Nothobranchius furzeri: one gene and its partner. The main gene of each other region encodes a partner of the protein of the gene in region 2 in a complex. Links are inferred from orthologs where the notes say so. Each region holds a gene or a part of one and is shown on either strand. Other genes may lie near its edges.

Evidence for each region. The genes of interacting proteins can lie anywhere in the genome.
Region 1: the proteins of dldh (region 2) and dbt are in contact, whole or in part, in a crystal structure (PDB 3RNM), measured with the Homo sapiens proteins. The link is inferred for Nothobranchius furzeri from reciprocal best matches to the Homo sapiens genes DLD and DBT. Residues at the interface, in NP_000099.2 of Homo sapiens: Ser446, Thr447, Asp448, Arg449, Glu472, Tyr473, Gly474, Ser476, Glu478, Asp479, Arg482; in NP_001909.4 of Homo sapiens: Thr174, Pro175, Ala176, Lys196, Arg199, Leu201, Lys202, Glu203, Leu206.

The regions. Positions count from the first base shown.
Region 1 is NC_091748.1:80,632,075-80,636,569, reverse strand, and holds part of dbt (lipoamide acyltransferase component of branched-chain alpha-keto acid dehydrogenase complex, mitochondrial), read right to left. Parts: intron 774-4,495; coding exon 696-773; intron 627-695; coding exon 435-626; intron 353-434; coding exon 281-352; intron 202-280; coding exon 34-201; 3' UTR 1-33. UniProt on the Homo sapiens protein: The branched-chain alpha-keto dehydrogenase complex catalyzes the overall conversion of alpha-keto acids to acyl-CoA and CO(2).
Region 2 is NC_091754.1:40,923,359-40,929,364, forward strand, and holds the start of dldh (dihydrolipoyl dehydrogenase, mitochondrial), read right to left. Parts: upstream 3,632-6,006; 5' UTR 3,520-3,631; coding exon 3,481-3,519; intron 2,762-3,480; coding exon 2,686-2,761; intron 1,582-2,685; coding exon 1,502-1,581; intron 1,370-1,501; coding exon 1,301-1,369; intron 1,191-1,300; coding exon 1,121-1,190; intron 1-1,120. UniProt on the Homo sapiens protein: Lipoamide dehydrogenase is a component of the glycine cleavage system as well as an E3 component of three alpha-ketoacid dehydrogenase complexes (pyruvate-, alpha-ketoglutarate-, and branched-chain amino acid-dehydrogenase complex).

The DNA of each region.
Region 1 (4,495 bases), on a different chromosome or scaffold from region 2:
TACCGCTCACCCCGGGGCTGATGGGGAATGTGTTTATTTCAGGTCCAGCACCATGCAGGCCGGGTTCTCCAGGTACTCCCTCCACAGGTTGGAGAAGCGACACATGGTGGCGCCATCGATGATGCGATGATCTGCTGACCAGCTGACCTTCATGATGTGAGCTGGAATCAGCTCACCGCTGGCATCAAACCGGGGCAGAACCTAGACACACAGTTAGAACGGGCCTGAGAAACATCCGCTCACGTTGGTTCCCGTTTGGGATCACAGCACAAGATCTCACCTGGATTTTTCCCAGGGCTCCGATGGCGACCTCAGGAGGAAGGATGACCGGTTTGGCGTACGTCCCTCCGATCTGGTTCCAATCACAGACAACCACGTTAGTTTCAGGTCGGGTTCTGCAGTAGAACGCGGTACTGCGGTGCGGTTGGACTCACTGATCCGATGTTGGACAGAGTGAACGTCCCCCCGCTCAGCTCGGTGGCACCCAGCTGACCTGCAGCCCCCAGCGCCTGCAGGCGGTTCAGCTCCTGGGCGATCTCGAACACGCTGAGCAGCTGAACGTTCTTCACGTTGGGAACCAGCAGACCCTGGCTGGTGTCCATTGCAAGCCCGATGTTATGAGATGCCTGAGAAGCAGCCAGAACCGTCAGAGCCACCCAGCTACCTGTTCAGAACCAGTGAACACCAGGAATTACCTTGTAGGTGATGTTCTGACAGCTTTCATCCACCGAGGCGTTTAGGATGGGGAAGTGAAGGAGACCCAGAGAGGCAGCCTGAGCCAACGAGAGCACACGGTTATCACTAAGCCAGGACTGAGGCTCAGGACCTCTGGACCAATCAGGGGTGAGGTTAAAGGTGCACCAGAATGTAAAGCCACGCTCACTAGTGATGGGAACTCCGGCTCTTTAGAGTGACCCGCTGACCTTAAATGAGGTCAGAGCCCGGGGGCAGCGTGCTCTGACCTCCATTACAGTCAGGCTGGCGTCCTCTCTGCGGGTTTTTGATCCGACTTAAAATCCTACGGTTTTAGAGATTCATGTGATCATATTATGATTTTAGTGCTTTAACTGATCCTGCCTGTTCAGCATGTTGCTCAGCGCTCACGCCGTGTCTTTAACGGTGCTATACACATAGAGTTGGTCCGGTCCGGTAAAGTGAACCGGTTCTTACGGCTCGACTCACTGAAGCTCCGAGCCATGCCTCCTGGATTTTGGACTGGACTCTACAGTTTTAGGAATTCTTATTTCGGCCACATTGGACTTTTCAGAACTTTTGTCAGTTTTTATGCACAATTCTGATCATGTCTTAGTTCTGGGAGGTTTAACATGCATGTGTGCTGCCCTGAGAAACAGCTGGTGGAGGACCGGGCCCACACACAAGCACGGCCACACTCTGGACTTAGGACTCCCAAACGAGAGGACTAGCAATACCAGTGTGGTAGATTTTCTGACCATGCTGCACCTGGGTTTGGTTGTGACATCACTATTCCACCTGTAGTATGACCAGCGGTGCCAAAACTCCACTGGTTTTTAATACTTTTAATGTTTTCTGTGGTTGTCTCCAACCAGTGGCCTTCGTAGTACTCAGTCCCGCCTGACCCACAGTTGTTCTCTGATCGTTTTGACTTGCTATGTGCATCAGTCTTGGATGAGACTGCGCCCCTCACTGATGTCAAGTCTGGGAGAAAATCTGAAGGTTGGACGTCAGAGGAAATCAGACACATGAGACGTGACAGCAGGAGGGCTGAAAGGCTGTGGAAGAAAGACAGACTTCAAATCTCTTTAGAGCTGTTCAGGTCCAAGCTAGCCTCGCTAGGTCCAAGCTAGCTCGGACCTAGCTGGCAGGTAAGAGGGCTAAAATTAACTATTTTGCTGGCATTATTTCTTCAGCCTCAGGTGACCAGCACTGAGTTCAGCGCTGGACCCGGAGGGAATGGTTACTACAATGGATGACTCAGTTGAGAGCTGTGAGAACTTCCAGGTGTTGTCTGGAGAAACCTGCAACAGCAAGAGCCTCTCTGGTACATGACCCACTATACACCCCTCTGGCTCCACCTCCACTATCAGCCACATTAGACTCATTTACTGTGTCGGATGTGTTGAAGCTGGTCTCCAGAATGAAGCCATCAGGTTCCCCGTGTGACGGTTTCTCCAGTGTTGGCTCCTCCGGTAGTGTCCATCATAAACAGCAGCTTCAGTCACGGCCTTGTGCCCCACACTTTGAAACATGCGGTGGTGAAGCCCCGCTAAAGAAGGCAGCTTTGGACCCAGGAGTTATTTCCAACTACAGGCCAATCTCGCGCCTTCCCTTCAGTTCAAAAGTCCTTGAGAAGACAGTTTATGATCAGCTCTGTCTATTTTTGGCCACCGACGAGATCTTAGAACCACACCAGTCTGGATTCAGATCTGGGCACAGCACTGGAACTGCTCTCTTAAAGGTGCCCAACGACGTGTCCCTGGCAGCTGATGCTGGGAAGGCGGTGGTGCTGCTGCTTAGTGACTTGACTGCAGTGTTCGACACTGTGGATCATCAGGTTCTGCTGGAACGCCTAGAGCAGTGGGTGGGGATTTCAGGAGCAGCTCTGAGCTGGATGAAGTCCTACCTGACTGGTAGAACTATGAGTGTTTCTACAGGTAATCACTTATCGTCTCAGAAAGAGCTGAAATGGGGGGTCCCTCAGGGATCTGTTCTGGGTCCCCTGCTCTTTTCAATCTATCTGCTCCCACTCAGCATGATCTTCCACAGCTGCGGTATTGACTTCCAGTCGTATGCCGACGACTGCCTGATTTATCTGCCAGTGAGAGAGGGGTTGTCTGGCTCATTAAGTCTCTGGTGGAATGCGTGGAAGACGTGCGTTCACGGTTGTCGACCAACTTCTTCAGTTGTAATGAGAGCAAGACTGAAGTCATAGTTTTGTCACCTAATGGCCATCAGCCATGTAGCATAGACCTCTTATCATTAGCACAATTTGAACGTAAAGTGGTAACTGATCTTGGTGTGAGACTGGACTCTGGACTGACCTTTGATGCACAGGTGAACTCTGTAGTGAGATCATGCTAACCCTCACCCTAACCCTAACCCATCCTTGCGCCTTGCGAGGATCAAGCCTATGCTATCCAGAAAGGACCTTGAGATCGTAACATCTGCATTTGTGCTTTCCAGACTCGACTACTGCAACTCTGTATGTCGGTCTGACCACTTCCACACTGTCAGAGCTGCAGATGGTTCAGAACGCTGCAGCAAGGTTTATTACCGGAGTGAACAAATGTAACACTCCAGTATTACATGCACTGCAGCGGCTTCTGCTAAAACACTGCATTGAGGTCAAGATTCTGGTATTTACATTCAAGTCACTAGCAGGGACTGCGCCGCCTCATCTATCATCACTACTGCAGAAACACGCCCCCTCAAGATCACTGTGCTCCGCTGCCAACAACCTACCGGTCGTTCCACCACCTGAACATAAGAGTCGCGCCCCAACATTGTGGAATGGCCTTCCACTGGAATTAAGACTCACAACTACACTTGAAGCTTTTAAAGCACAATTAAAAATGCACTACTGACTCACAGCACCCCGTGAGGCCTCTGATCTGGTTGTGTAACTAGTTTTTAGCTAAATGAAGATTTCATCTTAACCCTCTTAGCTTGCACCAGTACATGTTCCTTTGTGTTCTCTGAGTTGTAGGCAGAGTGTGACGTGTACATACAGCTTCTTTATGGGTAGTTATATTCTTACTGAGCACAAAGGTAACTACTTGTTGTTCAAGTGTCTCCAGTTCTTTCTCTGAGGCGTCTTCTGCTGAGTCATGATTCGTCTCTGCTTTGGGATTTATGAAAGAAAACGTAGCGGAAAAATGTGTACAACTTTAAGTTGACTAAGGACCTGGCCTACACACACTGGACATGGAGAGCACCCCCCCCCCCCCCACACACACACACACAGGCTGAAGCGCAGAATACAGAATGGGACATAACATCATGCGTCTGTGGCAGTGTGTGTCCTGTTACTGTGACCTGATTGATGATGCGCCCTGGCTCTATCAAAACCTGGATGGTGGGAGCTTTCTTCAGCTGAATGAAGATAAGACTGAGATCCTCATCTGTGCCCCAGACAAGCTGGTTCCCAAAGTCAGAGACTCTCTTGGTCAGCTTGCTTCCCACACCAAACCTTCCGTCAGGAATCTTGGCGTGACCTTTGACCCAGCTCTCACCCTGGATTCTCATGTCAGTTCTCTTGTTGGCTCTTCCTTCTTCCATCTCAGGAACGTTGCTAAGCTGAGTCCCATTCTGTCACGCTCTGAACTTGAGACAGTTCTCCACACCTTCATCTCCTCACGCTTAGACTACTGTAACTCTCTTTTCACGTGTCTGAGCAGAACCTCCCTGAACCGTCTACAGGTGGTTCAGAACGCCTGTGCTCGGCTTCTGACCAAGTCCTCCAAACACACCCACAACACCCCACTTCTCCTCCAGCTTCACTGGCTGCCAGTCAACT
Region 2 (6,006 bases):
CAACAACAAAAACCAAAAAAATAGCAATTCTCTTAAATGAAAATATCTCATTAACTTTCATGCTTTGGAGCAGAAAAAGTGCATGAAAACTAACTAATCCACTCTGATTTACTGCGATGCTCACCTGTTCCAGCCAGACCTGCACCTGTGGGGTTGGACTCTAAGCTAAGAAGGAGTTCATCAGTGAGACTTTTGTTCATCTTCCTCACAGACAACAGTTGCTCACGGAGATAAGTGCTGCTGAACATAGAGAACCTGAGCAGCTAAGGCCGGGTTGGTGAGCTTTCCATGTCAGCTGTGGACGGACTGCGGAGCGGCTGAAATCTCAATTTCTGGACTTAAAAGTCAGCAAACTGCAGAGTAAACTCGGCGATTTGAGGAGTATTATCAGCTTGTTTGAGGCCGAGGATGGCATCGCTGCAGACGCGGATTCTAGTAGCACGGATGCTAATGATCGTAAACAGAAAGGAGGGGGCGCTTCTACTGCCTCGCTAACGCTGCAAAGCACAATGAGATTTGTGGTCTTTGTGGCAAAATGGTTTTAATATATATTTGATCTCACAGGCCAAATAAAAACAGATCACAGGTCAACTTTGGCCCGAGGGCCTGAGTTTGACACCCGTGCTTTACAGAGTCTCGTGTTCTCTGGGCTACCGGCGTGGGTTTTACACCGGCACCACCTACTGGGGGACAAAGAACATAGAGCACAAAGCTCACCACTTGGGGAGCATACACTGTATTGTACATTATAGTTCAATAGAAACCAGTTCTGGTTTGGTTCATTTATCTTTTGAGTTTTTAGACTTCCATGCTTGAGCCTTTAAAATGAACAAACACAAAAGTAAAGCATCGGAGTGTGATGCAGTGCTTTAACTTCTTCTGCCTTCAGCTCAGGATGGACGGCCCCCTAGTGCCCCGTATGAACGAGCCATCACTTGGCTGCAGAAGTATTCAGGAAGATGCACGTCTCACTTGGTCTGTGAGGTTTGAGAGCTCTGTAGCCAGTTGGGTTGCGCCTGTTCAGTTTTCACGTGTGTCTGAAAACTGCTGTGGAACCCGGTCGAGCCTGCAAAGCCTCATAAAATGTAAAACGTGTGTCAAGAACATCGTCCCGTCTTACTTTCGATGCCTCTGCTTTCAAAGTCCTTGCCGTGTGCCATGTGGTACAAGTAGGAGTTGTTGAGCAGAGCCTACAGAAAACAAAACATTTAATCAATCCAAGGATTTTACTTCATAAAGTCTAACTAAATGAGTCTAAACAAGCTTAACTTCCTGATCAACACAGACACCAGCTCTTTACCTTTGAGGGGATGCAGCCAACATTTAGACACGTCCCACCCAGTGTTGCATTTTTCTCAACACAAACTGTCTGCCAAAGGAAATCCAATTGTTAGAAAACCCGTATTCATTTTAGAAACCAGTTTCTGCGGATTCAAGGTTCACTGGATAGAAGTAGCAGCAGGTCGGGTACTCCCGTGTTTGTGTCACAGAGGAAACTCACCTTAAAACCAAGCTGTGCAGCTTTGATGGCAGCGACATATCCTCCGGGACCAGAGCCGACCACTGTGACGTCTGCATCAACTACAAAGGAAACACACCAAAACCTCACTCACAACAGCAGAAACACAGAACACACACCCTGGGATTTACGACAACATGGATGGATCTGGGGCTAAGATGTACTCCGCTGTCGGGGAAAACTTCTAAAGAAACGAGAGAAGCAGTCTGACAGAGGGACTCCAGAGACTAGGGAAGTCCCATTATGATATCGATATCGGAAGTAATTTGATAGCGGCCCATAAACACTATCGGATTATGTCGCGCGGCATCAAAAATCTCCGATATAAGCAGTCTGTTAAAGTTCACATTTTTGCAACCAATGGTTAAGAAAAAAATACTGTTATTGGCTCTCCGATTGAGTACCATCACTTGATCCAGCCTTTCATACATTCTACACTATGACACAGGTCAAAGTCTGTATGATTTGTGCTGATATCGTATCAGATTGATATCGGTATCGGTCAATACTGAAGGCTGCAATATCAGTATCGTATTGAAAGTGAAAGTTGTATCGGGACATCCCTACTAGAGACTTTACTTATTGCAATGAGATGGCAACAATACTCTCATTGTTAGGACTTTATGTTTAAAAAAATGTGGCATTTTATTCTAGGGGAAACAGAAAATAAAACAATTATGACCCCAGGCCTTACGTCACTTAGAAACGTCCCAAAATGACCTGGAATATCAGATCTGGGCCCTAATCACGGCCTGATGTACCGGTATGTGGTTCCATGTGTTGGGCCCCAACCCTGCTTCATACAGACCAACAATCACCCTCTCACTGACCATCTGAACCATTTCATGAGCAGCTGCTGCCAGGAGGCCGACTGCCAAAGAACATGTTGTAAATGCCTGGTTTGAAATCTCAAAATTATATCTACTGAATGTACTTTAGCTTTAATATGAATTCATATTAGTAGGGAAAGCATGATCCCATGGTCATCTGTCTGAAGTTTGTGTGTTTTAGAAACAACAGTCATTTAAAGTGGGTCTGAACATCACAGTGAAAGTGCCTTGTCTGTCTGGGACAAAAAACTTTGATGAGGACTTGTGTTATATTTAAACTAATAGAATGAAACAAGATTTCATGGTTTCAATGATCAAACTTCCAGGATTTCTTACTTGCTGCTTTGTCAGCAAAAGTTCGGACGGACACAGTAGCAGCTCCGTGCAGCTTGTAGGGGAGCTGGTGGTTCAGCTGGGAAGCAAATCACACAAGCATTATTGATGAAACACCAAAACAAACTGATAAACTATGTGGGTTTTAATTCCCTGTTTAAACCTTCAAATGTTTTCTTTACAGAATATTTACCCTTGCTAAACATGCAGAGGGCTCTACCAACGACAGCACTGTTTAGTTCCTAAAGCAAAAATGCTTCTGAAAAGCGAATACTATAAAGAATAACAAGGACAGATAATAGGTCCTTCATGTAGGCTACATGGGAACCGGAGCTAGCAGTCTTAGCATGCTAAAACAGTGAGGAAACAAGTCAGACGTGAAACAAACACAAAATGTTAAACATACAGTTAGATTTAAACGTGATACATCACAGAGACATACTCTACTGTTAATGAATTGCACATGGTGATCGAAAAGTATTACAAAAGTCCTGATTTCATTGACATTTGTGATTTCCACCTACACTAGATTTGACTCACACACAATGTGCAAATTGAGAACGTATCAAATGGCACATTAAGCCACGTAGTACAACAGCGGTGTGATATGAACTTTCCCAGCGGAATATACTGAGATAAATGTTCTACATACAACTTCAGTTAACTGAGCAGCTAGCACGTCAGCTAGCATAGCTCGAGTACGAAAATACCACTCACACACCCTTAGCGACTGAAACCAGCCTGACATCTTTAATGACAACACGTGGAGCCTAACGTAGTAATAATTATCATCCTTACCGTGGTCACCGAGCGATAAAGCTGCGTCCAGCTTTGCATTTTGTGTGTTTGTGTCTCTGACCGGCTAAGTAACCTAGAGTAGAGCAAGCAGCCAAGGACTCCTGGTAATGCGCATGCGCAGTAGGCGTCCAAGCTCCTTTTGTAGAAAACTTTATTGGCCATCAACTATGGCAACAAAACAAGCCTCAACTAGAAAAATTTGCATTTATTGCACAAATGCTGTTTGAATGCTGGAGAGCTGAAACTGTAAGCTGAAGCTGCTGAACAGCTGAACTGAAGCTGAAACAAAGCAAAACTGTCAAAATGAGCTGAATGTCTTGAAAGATGTAGAAGCAAAAAGCACAAACAAGCAAATAAAGCACAAAAAGTAAGTGAAGAATAGAGAAAAATAATGTTAAATAGCAAAAAACTGAAATCTGTGAACATCGTATAAAAATCTGAACAGCTAAAATGTCTTAAAACCTGTTATTCCAGTTGGACAAGTTTAACAATTTAATCTTTACATTTAGCTGAACTGTGAAATTAGCAGTTTATGCTAAATTTGGTAACTGATTGCTGAAGTTGTTGAATAGCTGAAGTAAGCTGAAACTAAGATAAACTGTCAAATGAGCTGAATGAAGCGAAAGCTGGATCGCTAATATAAGCCAACAGAGCCTCGTATCGCCTAAATAAAACATTACATGTTGCGTTAATATAATACGCTATAAGCTATGCTTTTGTATTAATCTACTACGTCTATGTGTTTTCTTAATAATGGTTGTAAGACACACATGCTAACGGCCTGTTAACATGCTCCCACTCACTTTTGGGCATTTCGGCGGACAGCAGTCGGTGCGGAGAACAAGGAGAATCTCCAGCCTTTGTTGGTCTACCTCTATCTCTGCTGACCACGACGCTTATATCTATGGTTGGTTAACCATCTAGTGATCCGGAGAAGCTTTCAATGACCGTTGTCTTGTTTTTGCTCAGGTTCAGGCTCCACCAGCAGCCTCCAGGCCCAGCAGCCAGGCTCCACCAGCAACCTCCGGGCCCAGCAGCCAGGCTCCACCATCAGCCTCCAGGCCCAGCAGCCAGGCTCCACCATCAGCCTCCAGGCCTAGCAGCCTGGCTATACCAGTAGCCTCCAGGTCCAGCAGCCAGGCTCCACCATCAGCCTCCAGGCCCAGCAGCCTGGCTCCACCAGCAGCCTCCAGGCCCAGCAGCCAGGCTCCACCATCAGCCTCCAGGCCTAGCAGCCAGGCTCCACCATCAGCCTCCAGGCCCAGAAGCCAGGCTCCACCAGCAGCCTCCAGGCCCAGCAGCCAGGCTCCACCATCAGCCTCCAGGCAAAGCAGCCTGCCTACTACACCAGTAGCCTCCAGGCCCAGCAGACTCCAGGCCCTGCAACCTCCAGGCCCAGCAGCCTCCAGGCCCAGCAGCCAGGCTCCACCATCACCTCAATACCAGCCACCTGATCCAACCATCAGGCTCAGCCTGGGGCTCCAGGCTCCAGATTCACCGGCAACCAGGGCCGAGAGAGAGGTAAGCCTAATACAATGGTCCCTCCTAGAAAAACGGAGAAACTCGAGGAAGATATGGAGGAAATTTTAAAAAAGCATTTAATTTTATGTCAGCCGAGCTGTCTAAGCTAACAGTACAACAGGATCAACTACTATCATTAATGGACGAGGTCAAGACACTGAAATTCAAGCTTGCAGAAAGGGACAAGAAGATCATGTATTGGAACAGAGGGTGGATGAACTGGAGCAGTATACCAGAAGGGAAGACTTGGTGATAACTGGTTTGGAAACAAGACATAGGACTTATGCCAGAGTTACTGGAGATGGAAATACTACTGAGGATGCTCCGCAGGAAGAACTCCAGTCACTAGAACAACAAGTGTTGAGCTTCTTGCACAGTTAGAACATTAATATCCAAAGTGAAGCAATATCAATCTGTCATACCCTTCCAAGAAAGGCAGTCGCCTTAAAACCAGTCATCATAGTGCGATTTACCAGTAGGAAGTACAGAAATGAGTTGTTGAGGCAAGCAAAAAAAAAACTGAAAGGTACAAATGTGTACATAAATGAACACCTGACGAAAAAGAATGAAACAATAGCCAAAGAAGCAAGGGTGCTGAGAAAACAGAAAAAAATCACAGCCACATGGACGAGAAATGGTGTTGTAGAGAGCAAGAAGGTCTAAATGCAAAAATGATCAAAGAGTTGAAAGATCTAGAAGTGTTCCAGGGTAAAAGATGATTTATTGTGTAGCACTGGCTAAATAATGGATAGTGGAATCAGTTTAACTATGGATATGGAAGTACAAATGAATTCATAAAGAATAAATGGATTCCCATGAGAAAATATATGAACTTCACAGTAAAATAGATGAAAGTTTTTTTGAGTTAAATATAAATAGTAATTATTATGCAGAAGATCCTCTAAATAGTGGGATAATTAACAATGATTCATTATCAATCATACACATAAACAGTAGAAGTTTAGTTTCCAAGATGTCAACAATAAAGGATTATTTAGGTAAATT